Linked DNA regions of Drosophila melanogaster. The protein of the gene in region 1 purifies or fractionates together with the protein of each later gene. This does not show direct contact. Each region holds a gene or a part of one and is shown in the gene's direction. Other genes may lie near its edges.

Region 1 (8,140 bases):
AAGGAAGCCCTTGATGACGGGGACGGTCGCCTTTAATTGCTGCAGTCCCAGTTCGCTAAACGATTTTTGTGCAAAGTTGACAACCCACGCTGTAAAGAGACGACTTACTTGGTGAATCCCCCCAAGAAACCGACGATGTACTTACGACCCACGAGCACGGCCTGATTGGCTGCATCCTCTATCTGCAGCATGGCAATGGGGGGCAGCAGGGCCTGGAGCTGCAGGAAGTAAATCACCATCAGTGTAATGCTGTACGTCGATATTTGTTCAGTTAGCTTGCAGCGCTCCAGCCAGTTCTTTACATATATGCACATATATTGAGCTGCAAGGGAGCGAATGCAAAAAGATAACATGGACTCTATCCGGCAGCATGTGCTTACTCAGTGGCTGTGACTCAAATATGTATTTGAGCAGATTTGTATTGCAAAAGCCCATGCTGTTCAGACAAATGTCGCACTCGATACCGGTTGGTAAGTGGCACGTCTTGATGATGGGCACGCGAGCCTGTTCGATGAACTGTTGAAGAAAGTGCAATGGTAAAAACGAACGTATTGCTTAGGGACACAGCTCACATTAATAAGACGCCAGTCCTCGCTGTCGCAGAAGAACTTCCTCATAGCCCGCAGCTTGGCGACGGTAGCGTTGGAAGCTCGATGCTCGAACGTGTGAAATGTGTTGCCTGCCAATTCAGAAGCCAGGTGAAATTGGTAGGAGCTCAATGCAGTACTAACCCGACTTACCGATGTCGACGAAGAGGTCCAGGTCCGAGGATCGATTTCCAATGCCTGTGATGCGGGACCCGAACTTGTAGACTCGCAGTGGTTGTTTGGGAAAGCCCGGCGACAAAAGCTTGCACAGGTCCTGTTCGATAACGTCGTACTCGGGAATCACCTTTAACTTGTCCGCTATTGGGTATTTGTCCTTAAACACATTCGTAATCTCTCCCACAATCATTGCCCTGGCCTCTGCAATGTAAAAAGTATTTATAAAATATCGCTGGCTCTAAAGAAAACATATTAATCAAAGTATTGAGGCTTTATCAATCTAACATTTACAAGTAGTCAGACCACAATTTTTAGACTGCACTTCTGCGTAAGTAAATGAAATGAAATGGTGACCTACTCTTGGGTAGCCGTACTGTTATATGCTGACGAGCCTTCACCTGGGCCTGCTTTTTCTCCTGTTTCGTCTGATGCGTCGGATGCGGCTGGACTGGCTGATTGTTGGGATTGGGTTTTGGATGCTGCTCCGAAAGGTGGGCCACAGCTTTTGCGATGGTGGTGCCCACTATGCGGTTGCTGCAGGAACTACAGCTGAATGTTCGCTTTATTGTCTGCAGCTCCTGGGGCTGGACGAAGGCCACGCCCTCACCCGGTGCGGCCATCTCCTGCGGCAAAACGTATGTGGGATTCCTGTCCAAGTAGCTCTCGATGCCCACCATAATGCGCTCCAGCAGGTTGGCCAGGTGCGGGTCTAGCTGCGGCGGATTCGTCGTCTGGTTCACTGAGTTTAGGGTCTGCAGAAAGAAGTGTGCCTCCATGGTAAGCGGATTCATCTGCACGATCAGCGGGCTTTAGTCTAAAAATTCGAATGATACAAACTCGTACTCACGTAAAGCAGTTTGTTTGGCATCATCTCGGCCATCGTCTTATTCTTCTTCGTGGCCTTTGTTACCGGAGCGGCTATGTTGGGCGCGGTGGAGCCCGGAAGCTGAAAGGTTAATCGAATGCGTTAACTTTTCTGCAACTCGAAAGTTTGCCGCCTTTGTTCGACTGCCAATAACTGTTGATTCGAAAATTCGAATCGAAGCGGTTGAATTTCGTAGGGTGGCCAACTACACCAAAGTTCGCCGGCGGTGTATGCATGTGAGTGTGAGTGTGACAGTGGGTGTACGTGTGCTTTAAGCGACACAATCGCACCGCGATGTACATATTTTTGTAGAAATGTGTGTGCATTTTTCGTCCGGATCACGGCTCCATAAAATAAATCATATCACAGGGCTCAGGGATTTGTGAGTAGAAGTTCCCGCCACTTAAACGTCACTTGTGAAATCGCCATCGACGGTCAACTTTTACTCACACTGGTCTTCCGCGGACGGACCGTCTCAAAGTACTGCCTTTCTGCGTTGGAAAACATCGCCTTTTTCGTCCAAAAGGAGTCCCCAGGTTCGATCCGCATGGCGTTGTGCGTGCGTGCCTTTCTTTTCAAATGATTACGGCTATTAACTTGGGGGCGTTAAGTTGGAAACACGTAAATTGCAGACTGCGATTAGAGTGACCATGAGTAGGAGTTCAAAATCTCCTGACATCATTTTCTTAAAACCTGCTTTGTTTTTTACATTTCTATTTAATATAACTCCTATTTGAATAAAAAAACAAAACAAGTTTAGATGTTAAGATATTAACTACATCCTTTGCTCCAAAGGGAGAGGGGAAGTTATGGAGTTAATTAATTTGCTGTTGGAAATCAATATGGAGTCAGAAATATAATGATTTACTAAACCTTATTGAATCGGTAACGATGCGAATTTATATTAAAATAGCTTTTATGAAACATTCAACAAAAATATTATTAATGTTGGCCCACTTTAGCAACCGGTTAGGTCTACCGGTTGGGCAAGCAAAGATTCACGCCCTGGTTCGAGTCCCAACTAGTCCTGCAAAATACCGCAGCAAGTTTTAGAGAGACCAAGTGCCATTACCTCTCCCACTTCAGTTATCGGTTATGCGGCGTTTAAGTCGACAGCTTGCCGTCTCTAGCTCCGGTGCCTATATAAAGCAGCCCGCTTTCCACATTTCATATTCGTTTTACGTTTGTCAAGCCTCATAGCCGGCAGTTCGAACGTATACGCTCTCTGAGTCAGACCTCGAAATCGTAGCTCTACACAATTCTGTGAATTTTCCTTGTCGCGTGTGAAACACTTCCAATAAAAACTCAATATGGTGAGTACTTTAAAAAAAAATCTAGTGAAATAATGCTGAAAAGAAATTTGTGTGGGCAAAATTCAATGGGCAAAAACGCGATGCGGCTTTTTCTCAAAATGGCGGCCGGCCTGCGTTTTTTCCTCAAAAGTGATGACGTCATGCCTGTTTTTTTTTTTTGTTCGCAATGAGGAATGGCTCTTAAAATCTAGATAAAAAAAATATTCATTATTTCTATGCTGCTGGAACGCTTCATTAATCTTAAAAATTCTAAATTCGGTTACCATGATACTTCGACGCATAACTGTAGATTTTGGATAGAATTAAAGAGAAAATGGCGAGAGAGTAAAATTCCGGCGTCGGCAAAGTAGAGCAAAAAAATCAGTATACCATTTAGCTACCTCTCTCACTCGCACGCAGTGCCGGCTCAAGTTGGGCGCGGCTCTGCAATTATCGATTTTCTTGGGGTGTGTAACTAATCATCCGTTTTCCCTTCCTCCTCATCCACAGCGTGAATGTATCTCTATCCATGTTGGTCAGGCTGGTGTCCAGATTGGAAACGCCTGCTGGGAGCTCTACTGCTTGGAGCACGGCATCCAGCCCGATGGCCAGATGCCGTCTGACAAGACCGTGGGCGGAGGTGATGACTCGTTCAACACCTTCTTCAGCGAGACTGGAGCTGGCAAGCACGTGCCCCGCGCCGTGTTTGTGGATCTGGAACCCACTGTGGTCGATGAGGTCCGTACCGGAACCTACCGTCAGCTGTTCCACCCCGAGCAGCTGATCACTGGTAAGGAGGATGCGGCCAACAACTACGCCCGTGGCCACTACACCATCGGCAAGGAGATCGTCGATCTGGTTCTGGACAGGATCCGCAAGCTGGCCGATCAGTGCACCGGTCTGCAGGGCTTCCTCATCTTCCACTCGTTCGGTGGAGGTACCGGCTCCGGCTTCACCTCGCTGCTGATGGAGCGTCTCTCCGTGGACTACGGCAAGAAGTCCAAGCTGGAGTTCGCCATCTACCCAGCCCCCCAGGTGTCCACTGCCGTGGTCGAGCCCTACAACTCCATCCTGACCACCCACACCACCCTGGAGCATTCCGACTGCGCCTTCATGGTCGACAACGAGGCTATCTACGACATCTGCCGCCGCAATCTGGACATTGAGCGCCCCACGTACACCAACCTGAACCGTCTGATTGGCCAGATCGTGTCCTCGATTACCGCCTCTCTGCGATTCGATGGTGCCCTTAACGTGGATCTGACTGAGTTCCAGACCAACTTGGTGCCCTACCCACGTATTCACTTCCCTCTGGTGACCTACGCCCCCGTTATCTCCGCCGAGAAGGCCTACCACGAGCAGCTGTCGGTGGCTGAGATCACCAACGCCTGCTTCGAGCCGGCCAACCAGATGGTCAAGTGCGATCCCCGTCACGGCAAGTACATGGCCTGCTGCATGCTGTACCGCGGTGATGTTGTGCCCAAGGACGTCAACGCCGCTATTGCCACCATCAAGACCAAGCGCACCATTCAATTCGTCGACTGGTGCCCCACTGGCTTCAAGGTTGGCATCAACTACCAGCCACCCACCGTGGTGCCTGGAGGTGATTTGGCCAAGGTGCAGCGTGCCGTGTGCATGTTGTCCAACACCACGGCCATCGCCGAGGCCTGGGCCCGTCTGGACCACAAGTTCGATCTGATGTACGCCAAGCGTGCCTTCGTCCACTGGTACGTTGGTGAGGGTATGGAGGAGGGAGAGTTCTCCGAGGCCCGTGAGGATTTGGCTGCCCTCGAGAAGGACTACGAGGAGGTCGGCATGGACTCCGGTGACGGCGAGGGTGAGGGCGCTGAGGAGTACTAAGCGTCACGCCACTTCAACGCTCGATGGGAGCGTCATTGGTGGGCGGGGTAACCGTCGAAATCAGTGTTTACGCTTCCAATCGCAACAAAAAATTCACTGCAACACTGAAAAGCATACGAAAACGATGAAGATTGTACGAGAAACCATAAAGTATTTTATCCACAAAGACACGTATAGCAGAAAAGCCAAGTTAACTCGGCGATAAGTTGTGTACACAAGAATAAAATCGGCCAGATTCAGTGTTGTCAGAAATAAGAAAACCCCACTGTTTTTCTTTGCCTTTTCTTTCTCCCAGCGATCATTCATTTCGTGGTGAAAGAACGGGGTCATTGCACGGAGTTTCGACTGCGGGAAAGCAGAGCTGCCGTTCACTTCGTCTATAATTAGCGCTTTCTATTTTCCCCGATTCGGGCCGCTGCTGCGCTTTTCCGCCTGCTGTTTGTGGCAAGTGTAGCAGCAGGCTGTGCACGCAGTGTGGCATGCACTTGGCTTTCCACCGTTGGTATCGATTCTCTGGGACGATGAGTCATTCCTTTCGGGGCCACAGCATAATCGTTGCCAGCTCACCGAAATGGTGACTTCATTTCTTAACTGCCGTCAAGCATGCGATTGTACATACATACATATTTACATATGTACATATTTATGTGACTATGGTAGGTCGATATAATAGCAATCAACGCAAGCAAATGTGTCAGTCCTGCTTACAGGAACGATTCTATTTAGTAATTTTCGTTGTATAAAGTAATTATGTATGTATGTAAGCCCCATAAATCTGAAACAATTAGGCAAAACCATGCGAAGCTTCCGAATTTAACTACGAGTCTACGAGTTAAATATGTATGTATGTACGTATTGAAGTGACCGCGTTTGTACATACACATTATGTATGTACTTTGTGCAGGCCTTTAATGGGGGTTGATTTGCCAAAACGAAATTGGAGCCTAGGTAAACCGGTTGGTTGTTGTGTTGTACTTGTAAGTATGTAGACACATACATACATAATCCGCCTGCTCCGTTTGCGCCCAATGCGGCATTTTCATGAAACAGACCGAAGAGGCAGCTGCTATCGAATTTCCAGAAATACCCAGGCAAACGGGCAGGAAATGAAGCACGGGAGGCAGATGTGCTTGGAAAATGTGTACACTGTATTGACGAGAAATGCACAAACGCACACATTGCATGTAAGAACGTGCATACATACATATATGTATGTACATACATACATAAAATAGCATTTACCGGTAGAGACTGGCGCCTTTATTGAGGTTATGTCTGATGTCATTTGGTACAAATGTGCAAAGAAATGGGTCTTTTTTTTGCCGTTGAAATATAGTTTACCTAACAGCACGCACCTAAGACTATTTAAGAAACAGTTTCAGCCTTAAAATCACGCTTTTTCGGCGATAAATGCAAACAGTTGGCTTCATGAAATCATAGCCAGCTGCCAACGCAGATTTGGTATGGCGATATGACTATATATGTACATACATACGTACGTACATACATGGATAGTGTCAAACGCCAACGCATTTTTATAATGACGACACTTCGGAACCGGCTCACAGAGATCTGCTCAGAAAGGTGTGGGTGGATAAGGCGGTTTCGTCGGCGGTTTTATGGCCAGCAAGCCCCCACAATCGAGCTCTGATGAATACGGATGAATGTGTAAGCCGAAATGTTTGATCAATAAAGTAAAGTTCGGAAATATAAAATGCTTCGCTTTGCAAAATAAATAAGAATACAGAACACATACGTACATACATATGTATGTATGTCTGAACTGCAAGAGTGGCATTTTTTGCCACTCAACCAATTTGAGTGTCGGGTGCCACTCCCTTACGGGTACTCACTTATAACCTTCGTGTGTTTTGCAAGCACTCGGGTGCGCGCGCACCCGAATCATTGCGGAACTCTTCGTCGCGAGTGCCGAACACACTCGCCACTCAGAAAAAAGGGAAACAGTGAGAAAAAGGCAAGTACGCAAAAAGTTTTGAGTGGCAAAAATAGTCATAATTCGAAGCCAAAGAAAGAGGTCGCAATTATGGAAGAAAAGGCAGATATTATAAAAACTAAAATTTTGAATGGAACTTACTCGGTTGCCATTCAACGTAAGGGAAAGAGTGTGATTTGGAGCATTTTATGTGACATTTTAAAGGAAAATGGAACTGTTCTTGACGGATGGCTGTACTGCAGTAAATGCCGCAAAGTGCTCAAATTTGTACCTAATCACATTTCCAATTTATCCCGACATAAATGTTGCCTGACATTAAGACGACCAACGGAGTTAAAAATTGTTTCTGAAAGCGACAAGGAAGAGGCCATTGAAGTATGCACCCAATGGGTTGTGCAAGATTGTCAGTCGTTTTCTGCGGTAACCGGTGCTGGATTTAAAAATTTGGTACAGTTTTTCTTAAAAATTGGCGCAGTTTATGGGGAACACGTGGACGTCGATGACTTACTCCCTGATCCAACAACATTAAGTCTTAAGGCCCATTCGGAGGCAGAAGAAAAGGGTACTCTAGTCTCGGCCGCGATAAAAGAAGCTGTAGATAGTGATAGTGGAGGAACTATGACAGCAACGGCAGATTTAATTAAAAAAAAAATTATGAATGGAGCTTACACTGTTGCCAATCAACGTAAGGGAAAAAGTGTGATTTGGAGCATTTTATGTGACATTTTTAAGGAAGATGAAACTGTTCTGGACGGATGGCTGTTTTGCAGTAAATGCCGGAAAGTGCTCAAATTTATACAAAATCACACTTCCAATTTATCCCGCCATAAATGTTGCTTACAATTGAGACGACCAACGGAGTTAAAAATCGTTTCTGAAATCGACAGGGAAGAAGCCATTGAAAAATGCACCCAATGGGTTGTGCAAGATCGTCAGTCGTTTTCTGCAGTAACCGGGGCTGGATTTAAAAACTTGGTACAGTTTTTCTTAAAAATTGGCGCAGTTTATGGGGACCAGGTAGACGTCGATGACTTACTACCTGATCCAACAACATGTTGAATGCATACCTACATATGCCAATATTGATTTGTTGAAATTTGTAAAACATCGATACTATCATTGTTTTGAAAAAAAAAAAAAACGGTAGAACTTTAGCTTAGCGTGAACCGAAGTTTTTATACCGTTGCAGTATATGTAAATAATATTACAATAGCCCTTAAGAAAAATGCAAGAAGGACTGCAAAGGAATTAAAATAAATTTGTTTAAAAAAAAAACAAAAACGTTTTAGTTCATTGATTAAACAATATACAATGTAACACATCATATGTTGATGAAAAGTAGCATATCTAGTACTTTTTCTCCAACCTTAATCGCTCTTCCAACACCTCCAATTAATTTTTATTT
Region 2 (11,026 bases), on another chromosome or scaffold:
CGCTCCTGGGACTAAATTCTAGCGACTCCTGGGGAACTTTAGCCTTTGGCAGATTAGTGGCTGCCACATGGAAACCTTTGTTGTCGGCCACATAGTTAACCGTTTGCAGCTTTCCCGCCGCATCCCGGTAACTATAGTATCCTTGGGTGATTCCGTCTAGGGTGCGGGTCTCCTGTTTGCTGGACAATGGTTCCGAATAGCCATAGGAGTACTGACCCAACTCATCCTTGGCGATATACTGGCGCTGGGTGGGCGTGAACACGGCGGATCCCTCGGCAGTGTACGCATAGGGATAGTACAAGGCCAGTCCGTGGGCCAAGCTGAGGCTTCCTAACAGCAGAAGTGGATACTTCATGGTTGGGCAGTGGAAGATTGCTTCGAGTGAGTCTTGTTCGTCAGTTCACTGGTAACTGTTGATTCTGAGCCTAGGTCTTCATCCTTTTATACCCAGCAGGTTCTTTCGCGAGTTCTAGGTTCTGGTTCTGGCTGAGGTTCCTGCCGGTCAGATGCTTCTATTCTGATACACTGCGAAAAAATTCTAAAAGTATGCCATATTATTATCTAAGAGAGTATACAAATGTTTTATGCTCTTTTACCCTAATATAGTAACGTGATTTTTATGACTTAAATTAAATCCAAAAATAAGTAGTTCGTAATTTGTTTAATAATGATTTGTACAAAGCTTAAAACATAAATTTAAATGCATATAAATAATAATATTGCTAAAAAAGACTGTTCTTAAATTCCTGAAATTTTAATTTTATGATTATGACAATCATTAAAAAAATATTTTATTATTGATAAAAAAGGTGGTTTATTGTACTTAAATAGAATTCATCAAATTTGTACAAGCACACGTATTTCATTAAAGAATAACCTAATAGTAATAATATCTGTCACATTTTAAAATAGTAAACAGCCAATTAATTTTTTCTCCAAATGTATCCATCAGATGCACTTCAATGCAAACGAGGAGATGCGAATGCGTCGTCGTGTCCACTTGTGTCGTTAACGGACATTGCAGCTCCGCCTTTCACTCCCCTTTTGGGGATCGACGCCTCGTGAAGGCGTTGTCAATTTGGTTTAATTGTGGCCAAGGCTGGAGTGGGCCCAAATGAGGGAGGCAGACCCTGGTTCTCCGCAGCGGGAGGAGCAATCGCTGCCTGGCATCTCCATCTGCATCTGCATCTGGATCTGCAAGCGAGCCAAGGGCCTTGGCTGGGTGGACCATCAAGGCCAAAGACCGCATCCAGACCAGCGTGTAATTGATATGCAATCGTTGTTGCTGCCACAGCATTGTGGCATCTCAGCCTCCTTTTTGTTCGCACACTGCAACGGGGCCACGACAACAACAGCAACTTCAACTGCAACAGCAAATGCAACAACTGTGGCAACAACCGACGACGACAACAACGGCATCTCAAGGTGAGTGAAGGCCAAGGGCCACATTTGGCCACAGCTTGGACACGGGAGTCATGCACTCCAGTGGCGAACAAAATGGGGGTCTTAGGGGGGTCATAAGTACCCTTAAAAATTATAATACTTGGTTAGATACATATGTATGTACATAAGAAATATATGTTTTATGCGAAGAGCTTACAAATATGACACAGAAAAGGGTTAATTAAATCGTTAAGTCCGCTAAATAAATAATATAATGTGAATTTTTAGACACCTTATAGTATACACTGAAGATATATACTTATTTCAACCGGACACTAAGAAAACCCCCTAAGAATATGTTTCCCATCCGCCTCTGATGCACTGCAGCTGCATTGGTATCTCCTGTTCCTCCTTCGCTGGTCATTTTTATTTTTAGCAGCGGGCTTATCGGATGCCTCAGATCTCTGGTGCTTAAACTTCGCTCCCGATTAGGAGGAGGAGGAGGAGCAACTGCAAGAACCACATTGGATTGGCCTTGACGGCTCGGCTGATAAGTGCGTTTTAATGTTAGCCCCGTTGGCACTCAGTTTCAATCAAAGCCCAATTCTCTACAACCATTCCAGCCTGGCTTAATGAGCTGGTTAGTTCTGGCCTGGAATTGAAGTTGGATTGGCAATATAGTCCGGTCCACTTGGTTCACTCCCTTTGTTCTGTCTCGAGTGGACTGTGCCCTGATTTGTGTACCACCATTGGTTCTTTGAACTGCCTTCGTGGCTAATTAAAGGTGCACTTAAGATAGGCCAGGTGGCAAGAATCATGTTTTTCATTTTTCAGGACTGGGAGTACTTTGATTTTATGTCCTAGAAAAAAAGAGCAAACGAATCAGTCTAAAAGGTATTTCAGCTGTAAAACATTCCATAAATATAGGAAATTTAACTCTTTCTAATTTTAATTAAAGAATATTCTAAACGTCATCTGGTCAATAAACTAAATGAATATTGTAGAATGAAATATTTAAATTACATATCAAACATTGTATATTAAATAATAATAATCAATGGACCTCTGTTTGTAATACCTAATGCTTAATTTACGAAATTAATTAGAAGTCTCCTCAGGGTATTTCGTTTTCCAAGTTAGTCTTTCAGTTGCTTTGTATTTTGGTTTTGGGCCAGGGCTATGACTTCATCGAGTTGGCCACAAAAACTTACCAAATTCTTCCGACCGTCAGTTCTCATAAATCAATGTCAAAGGTTTTTTTTTCGTTCGTTTAGGGTTTGTTTTGGGTTTAGGACGGGCTTGTTGTTTCAGTATGTGTTTAATCATTTTATGGAGTGCGAAGTAATTTCCTTATGATTTCCTATTTGACTTTTACTTTTTCCTGAATGTCCAAAATAGAAAAGTTCAAAGAACCCATTTACCTAGTAAGGCGGTCGACAAATCTTAACCGCTTGAAATAAGTACTCATTTGCATAGCTAAGCATGAGCTCACTGGTTAGTATAGCCCAAGTCACACCCCAAAAACACGTCTAAGTAAGCCCAAAAGATACACCCTTCATTATTCGAATTGTCTGGCACTTGTTGTGTGTGTTTTTTGCCCAACAATTTCACGCATCGTTTTTTGTTTTTTTGCGCTTAAACAAATTTACTGACTACAAACTCACTGTTTTAGTAGCTCAGACTGTGTGGCGAACCCCTCCCCTTCTCTTTAGACAATATAAAATCAGGAAAAGCTTTAAGCTTTATTCCCTAGAATTTCACTCACAACAAACCAAAATTTTGAGTGTAACTTGTTGGTTTGATAAGATTCTGGTGTGTAGCGTCACTTTTGTTATTCTGAGTTGTTTTTAGGTCTCGTTTGTTTCTTTTTCTTTCTGATAAATGGCTTCGTCGTGTGGCTTTCGTTGTTAGTTTTCGTGTATAAAATTTTGCGAAATGAAGTCATCGCTTGAAAAAAAATTGGGGGGTCAGTAAAAGTGTCTATAAGATCCAAATCGTTTTCCTTATCTCATTCAGAAAGTTTTGGAATTTATGTTAGCTCACCAACGATTTGCCATCTTTTCTTTGGATAAAATGCTAAGGAGGATTTTCCTTTTTGAGTTTCTATTTCACTCAGCGAAAGCTCACTCAAAACAAAAATATCACTCATACGCCGCTTGGGCCTTCGCTAGCCACTGGCTGCGCATTTGTCCAAACAGTTGAGTTTCGACATCGCCAGCATTCGCGCGTTTGCCTTAAAGTGATTGGAAAATAGCCGAGGAATAAAACAAATATTTTTTTGGAAATATATTCAAGAATTTTTGGAACTTTTTTAATAACAAATGTAAGTTGGAAACGTTTCGAGAAAAATAATCTAGTTCGTTGGATTTATTTTTTTTTTTAAAATGTTACTGTATCCTGCATCTATAAGCAGACTCCGAGCCAAGGATATTTTTTTTATTCATTTTATGAGTAGCAGGTTCATATTTTCAAGAGCAGATTTTGACCCACTTACCGCGCATCGCGTTCCCCTTTTCTTTTGTTCCTGGGGAGCACCATTGTTTTCGATTTCCTTTGGGAGGTCCTGATTTAGGCGCATTTTCCCCGCTTCCGTGTGTATATATGCGTGCATTTGAATCATCAGTCTGAAATTCCAGTACCGAGACCCCCCAGGAAACCCCTTCTCCAAACTGGCGCTTGCGCGTTTCCCAGCTCCCAGTGATGTCATCTGGGCTAGTGGTGATGTAGCTACACATTTCATACACATATTATGTCCCGAGCATAAGTCCCCCTCCTAAGTCAATGATTTCTCTATTGCGTTGCGTGCTCTATCAGAATGCCCATGACTTCCTGTTTTGTTCCCCCCAAAATAAAAGTTCTCTTTAATTTATGCATTCAGTCCGAGGTGCTAATATTTCTGTGTGTTTATTAACACACGTAAACTCATATGTGGTGCAGTATTTCATGTTTCTCCCCCCAAAGTCGTTTGTTTTATAAATATACATCGAGATGACCCAAATTTCGCTTCCTCCATTCGCTTTCCAGCGGTCCACTTGAGGTAGGTTGGGTTTATAATTGCGTTCCCCTCTCCAGGAAGTCCATTCTTTTCGAAAATGGCTATCTATAATATTCATTCATATTCCTATTCAAATTGTGGTCATATGTCATATATATTGCCCAATTAACTTTTACCATTTTGGTAGAAAACTAATTAAAATGTTGGCAACGAATTCGCAATGCTCGACTGGAGCTGGATGAGAACTTGTTCTCCAAATCGAAAATACAGAGAAAGAATCCAAAACAGAGATGGGAAATGAGAAGAATCGAATTATTTATGGTCTGACAAGCAAGCGGATTATTTCTGATTTAGACTATCCACGCTCCCCATCAGACTGCCTGATTTTCTGCCATTCATTTCACGAGGGGTATCTGCACTTTGAGTTGCCAAAGAATATTAAGAAAATAATTTATTTTGTGTGAATATAGTATCCAAGTCTGATCAGGGTATCATAGGATGAGTCTTTCCATTGTCGATTGCGATGATTTAATACTTCCGCTTTTTAAATTGATTACGATCATCTTAAACTGTTAGTATTTCCCTCGAATAATTATAATATTTAGATTTTTGTAAAACCTTTCAGAAAATTATTAGCAATCGGGCTTCTATTAAAAATCAAACTAATAACGTCAATCTTAGTGTAGAAAATTGGATCTAACAATCCGAACTATTTGCATTGGCTGATGGTAGTTAAAAAAGATTGATTTTACTAATATTACAAAATGAATTCTATTGTGAAAAAAAGCATTTTGAAAGCCACCATAGATAACCTAAAGATATTTCTTATTAGTTTTGATTTTACAGGTAATTTCCTAGTCGATAGCCTCTTGTTTTTTGCCATCTTAAAACTCTTCTTGCATATTCCAACTTCTTTTGTGGTGTAGTTTGTCAACTTTTCTTGTTTCCGAGTATTTATGGCTTCCAATTACATGTAGGGGCGGAGTAAAGGGTTCCATTAGTCTTGTCCGGGAACTGGGACCGGATAATTTGTATCGTCTTGAGCGGAGTTCAAGTTCAATGGCCCTGGTCTTGAGACCAATAAGATGATTAATGACCGGCAGACTTGCTATGCATGCAATGTTCCCAATTAACCACTCAGTTTACATAGATCATTTCGATGGATTATCTGGGGAATATGGGCTATTAAATTGCCTCACCCCAGAGCTATTCAAAGCTGATCCCAGAACAGCGTAATCAAGAGCCGGCGTAATGAGGCGATGACATAAGCACTCATTTTTCGATTTGGATTGCGAATGGGGCTAGGGGGTGGTAAAATAGTATTTGACATGCTCGACGGGCTGCATCAAGGTCATGGTGATTCTACCCCGCCCGTCCACTTCGATTTCGATTCGCATCTGTGCGGGCACAAGCCGTGGCATCATATCTCACGGATAGAGGACTCCAAACTGGTTGCAGTCGCATCTTATCGCCGCATTAAATGCTTGCCCAAACGGCTTCCATCTCTCCTGGGGCTCCAACTTGCAACCTTAAGTGGTGCGTAATTAATGGCTCCGCCAATAAATGCTCACGTTTTATTTACTGTTTATGGAATGATGGGGATGGGTCTGAGGATTCGACTTCGTGTTGGGTAGCCTGTAAACAAGAGGACAATTTATGCTACAAGCAATTTTAAAACTAAATTATCATCCAAATTTATGCCACGTTCGGTGGGTAACAAATTAAGCGAGGAATTTCTGGCGATGCGTAAAATATTTATTGCTCTTTTTGTTATTTTAATAAGCGTAAAAGTGATTCATTTTAATAATTTTAGGGTATATCTATAACTGTATAGCTGTACCGTAAATACCTAATATCGCCTTAGGATTATTAAAACCCATGATAACTGCATGCTAGAGACTAATCATAAAAGATCTAGCAAGCTAGCGCTAAGTTCTGACCCCCATAGAGTAACCCATGTGAGCCAAACCTGTTGACTATTTGTTTTGTGTATTTGGGTTTGCCAAAAGGCGATAATTAGCTGCGTTGGGAGATGGGGGACCCAAACCGATGACGCCATCTAATGATTGAGTCTCTCCCAATTTGCCTTTAGATTTCCATCTCTCGAAATCTAGCTGAGAGAGCTTTGGCCTAGCTTTGGGTGGGTATAGCTTTGCCTTTGTCCAGTTCAGCATGGGTTGTGATATCATTGCGAAAGCGAAGTGAGTAAAGTACTGATAAGGTGTTCGCAAAGATACGTCTGGGAATAGCACCTACATATGTAGATAGTTGACAGTGACGGACAAGACCCACCGCAATGTTGGTGAGCGTTGTGGCCCACAGGTGAGGAACTGCGTAGGTGACAACCGTAGTCAACCGATTACGCAGGAGCGGAAAAGTTGCGTGTTGGAAGAAACCACTACAAAATGTTAAACAAAACAATGACCTATCAGGCTAGGCATATTATTAATAATAAATGATCCTCAGTCCATCTGTAAAATTGAAGGTTCTTTGTCCGTAGTTGTTTATTTATTACTGGGCATCTATTAAAACACCTGTAGGGTTCAGTAAAGGTTAAAAAAATATATATAATATTAAATATATTTTTCAGATCCACCATGTCCGAGGTAGCTGCAGCAAATGGAAGCCCCTCCCCAGCGCCAACTCCTGAGGTGCCCGCTACCGAGTTGGCCCAATTGGCGCTGGAGGATGAGCCCAAGGTTAGCTTTTCGGATCAGTTCAAGGCCTTCTCCAAGTTCGGGGACTCCAAGTCCGATGGCAAGCTGATAACGCTGTCGCAGAGTGACAAGTGGATGAAACAGGCCAAAGTTATCGACAAGAAGATCACCACCACGGATACAGGCATCCACTTCAAGAAGTTCAAGGCCATGAAGATCTCGCTCAGCGACTACAACAAATTCCTGGACGATCTGGCCAAGACGAAAAAGGTGGAGCTGTCGGAGATCAAGCAAAAGTTGGCCAGTTGTGGAGCTCCAGGAGTTGTGTCCGTTTCGGTGGGTTTGATAAATTGGTTGTGAAAAATATGATCTATATAAGTCAAATGATTAAGATTGATTTTAAAGTGTAAAGAACTTCGAGAAGACCATTTAGATATGACAAAATTTAAATGATTTTTTTTTGACTCATTTAAACTATCAATTGTTAAAGTAGTTTTCTTACAGAAGTTCTTAAAAAATATCTTTTTAAACCTTTGAAAGTCATAACCATATACTTTATGCCTTTATTGAAAACCTAATCAACATTTTGTTACCATTTTTAGGCTGGAAAAGCCGCAGCTGCCGTGGATCGATTGACGGATACGAGCAAGTACACCGGTTCCCACAAGGAGCGTTTCGATGCCTCCGGAAAGGGCAAGGGTATCGCGGGCAGACGGAACGTGGTCGATGGATCCGGATATGTGAGTGGCTACCAGCACAAGGACACCTACGACAATGCCCACTAGATGGGGTAACCACCGTTTTTCACCCTCTCATAAATCTGTATTTCTAACTTTTGTGTTTCCCTAGTTAATGTCTCCCAATCTAATTTATCTTTGTGTATATAATAAGTTTGTGATAATTTAAGTGCTTACAAATAAACTTATATTTTTGATTATAATTTTTGAGTTCCTTTACTTTGTTTATCCTTCTTTGTCCTTTGATACGTAAAATTTTGAAGCGGCCCAAAAAGAGTTCAAAAGTAAATCCAAATCAAATTTATATACATTTCATGGCAATCAAACCCATGTTTGGTAGTCTTAAGATAACAGATAAACTTTTAATATTACAATTTGTGAAAGAAATTTAAATATCACATATGGAAACCAAAGATATACGACATACATATGTAGATATATGTTATGTTTTCACAAGAATTTTGCTTGAATAAATACACTTTAAAATATTTGCATTGCTAAAATTTGTATTGGGAGGAAATACAATTTAAAAAACCAAAATTTTAAAGCAATTAAGATGGTTTTGTAAATCGAAATATACATTTAATTGTAAGATCTTTGAAAAATGCCCAACATGTGTACCTTCTTAAAAGCAAAGATTTCACTGGAAGATAGTTATTAAGAGATCATTGCTTTATCTACACAATGACATTATCACTGATGCAAAGCTGACATCGAAAAACCGGAGCGGTGTGAAGCAGACTGAACGCTACAGCGACCAGATGGGGATGGAAATTGATATATGGGCATAAGTTGCATAATCCTAACCCAGAGCAGGTGGAAAACTAGCTATTGATTGCAGTCGAACCAAAGTCACTCAACGATATATCATATAGCCCTTGGGAAATAGGTATAAAAGCGGCGAACATTACAGCTCCAAGTCAGCAGTGCAACTGAGGAGCTCAGTGCTTGATGAAGCCACAAGGAATACCACCGACTACTACACGAATCAGCCAGACCAAGATGTCCTTTCGCGGCAAGAATGCAGTGGTGACCGGTGGAGCTGGAGGCATTGGACTGCAGGTGTCCAAGCAGCTCCTGGCCGCTGGAGCAGCGGTTGGTTGTTTTACACATAATTACGTGAAGTAATTTCTAAAGCGAGTGCTTCCTAGAAGGTGGCCATCATTGATTTGCAGGATAATCTGGAGGAGTTTGTAAAACTTAGGGCCGCTCATCCCACCCAAAGCGTAATGATCATCAAGATGGATGTGGCGAACAAGAAGGGTGTGGAAGCCACCTATGAGGAGATAGCCAAGACCTTCGGTAACATCGATATTGTGGTCAATGTAGCCGGGATTTTTAACGACAAGGATGTGCAGAGGACTCTGTTGGTAAATCTCGGTGGAATCATCAATTCCACACTGAGTGCATTGCCCTACATGGGCAAGGATAATGGCGGCAAGGGTGGCATTGTGGTTAACATGAGCTCGGTGGTGGGTCTGGATCCAATGTTCATCATTCCCGTTTACGGAGCCACCAAGGCTGGCATCATCAACTTCACCCGGTGCTTGGCGGTAACAAGAATTTCTTACATATCTTTTGAATTAGGTTTTTCATTTAAGTCTCTTTCTTAATTAGAACGAAAAGTACTATCAACGCTCGGGCATCAAGTTTGTGACTGTTTGTCCTGGAGCTACAATGACGGACATGTTCACCAACTTTACGGAGAAGATCATCTTCCCGGAAACGAGTGACGAGACCTATAGGATCCTGGATAGGCTAAACAAGCAGAGTGCCGCTGATGTCTCTCGATGCATTCTGAATGTCCTGGAGAAGGACAAGAACGGAGCTGTCTATGTCATCGAGGGTAAGCGCGTTTACCCTTTGGAAATTAAGCCCCAGTGGACGGGCAAGGAACAGGCCCTTTAAGTGGGTTAATTCGTTCACATCCTAAACACATGCATTTTACAAATATGAAGTTATTATGGACACTAGTTATTTAATAAACAAACGATGCACAGAAATAAGTTCTTGTGGTGATTAGTCATCCCGCCAGCTGACCAGCACTTCGTCCGTTCGAAATCGCTGAGTCACATAAGATTCCTCAAAGGGCATCCTAGTGCCAGAGCGGAACATTTCTGCACCAGCATGGGCAATCATTAGTCCGTTGTCTATGCAGTAACGTTCATCAGTGGCAAAGAGTTTGCCTCCGCGTTCCTCGCACATAATACGCATCATCTCCTGGAGTCGCTCATTGCAACCCACACCTCCAACTATAAGGACCTGAAAAGAAGTCGGTTAACTCATAGATTAATTTCGGAAAACTGTTGCAACCAACCTCATTTGAGCCGCAGTGTGCCATGGCGCGCTCTGTGATCTCCACCAACATGGCGAAGATGGTCTCCTGCAGCGAATAGCAAAGATCGGCTTGGCTGTAATTATTGACCTCTTCTTCCTGTGGCTTTTTTCTCTTATTTTGCCTCTTGCCCGGCTCTGCCAGGTCCTCGATGTAGGATAAAATCCCCGAGAAGCTGACATCCATGCCCTTAACCACATAGGGCAGTTTAATATAACGATTGCTCGACTTGGCCAGCTGCTCGATGTTGTAGCCCGGACTAGGATCGTTGGACAGCTTAATGATGCGGGCGAATCGATCCAGGCAATTGCCCACTGCAATGTCTATAGTTTCGCCAAAGATGCGATATCGCTTATTGGAGTAGGCAATAACCTGTGTGTTTCCACCGCTCACATAGAGAACTGTAGGATTCTGGGCACCGGTGATCAGGCGACCCATCTCGATGTGTCCAATGCAGTGATTTACGCCCAGCAGCGGGATATTCCACAAGAGCGACAAAGTGCGAGCCACAATGGCGCCAACCAGCAAAGGAGGAGCCATTCCTGGGCCTTTTGTGTAACAAATAACATCTAGATCAGAGGATTTCAATTGGGCTTCCTTTAGACTGGATTCCACCAAGCCCAGGATGGCTTCCCTGTGATGTTTGGCCGTTTCCTTGGGCAGGAAACCTGTTGAATGATTGGTTATGATTAAATCTGTACTAGCCGGCGGGTTAGAATGTGGCAATACCTTCTCCTGGTGGGGTAATGTACGTTCTACGTACGTTCGCCAGTACTTTACCATCTCGAATTATGCCAATGCCAATTTTATTGGCACTGCCTTCAATACCCAAAGCGCAAACCATGTTTAAAATTCTAACAAATTAAGCAAATTGCAATGTAAACAAACATTAGTGTTACCCTTCGCGCCGAGTGGCAGC

The links.
Region 2: the proteins of alphaTub84B (region 1) and ringer purify together in Drosophila melanogaster (affinity purification with western blotting, with the first as the bait; one study listed by BioGRID). This does not show direct contact.

What each region holds. Positions count from the first base shown.
Region 1 is NT_033777.3:7,083,803-7,091,942, forward strand, and holds alphaTub84B (alpha-Tubulin at 84B), read left to right. Parts: upstream 1-2,796; 5' UTR 2,797-2,939; coding exon 2,940-2,942; intron 2,943-3,431; coding exon 3,432-4,781; 3' UTR 4,782-5,037; downstream 5,038-8,140. Other genes in the region: tailor, read right to left, coding at 1-89, 146-322, 381-516, 573-679, 732-965, 1,123-1,555, 1,612-1,710, 2,080-2,178. UniProt on the Drosophila melanogaster protein: Tubulin is the major constituent of microtubules, a cylinder consisting of laterally associated linear protofilaments composed of alpha- and beta-tubulin heterodimers.
Region 2 is NT_037436.4:16,351,979-16,363,004, reverse strand, and holds ringer (ringmaker), read left to right. Parts: upstream 1-3,576; 5' UTR 3,577-3,706; intron 3,707-6,556; exon of another isoform or gene 6,557-6,700; intron 6,701-6,813; exon of another isoform or gene 6,814-6,914; intron 6,915-6,968; 5' UTR 6,969-6,975; coding exon 6,976-7,371; intron 7,372-7,637; coding exon 7,638-7,820; 3' UTR 7,821-8,259; downstream 8,260-11,026. Other genes in the region: Cpr72Ea (cuticular protein 72Ea), read right to left, coding at 1-355; Pdh (photoreceptor dehydrogenase), read left to right, coding at 8,724-8,867, 8,924-9,325, 9,390-9,680; Tcs3 (Threonyl-carbamoyl synthesis 3), read right to left, coding at 9,792-10,034, 10,090-10,775, 10,837-10,951.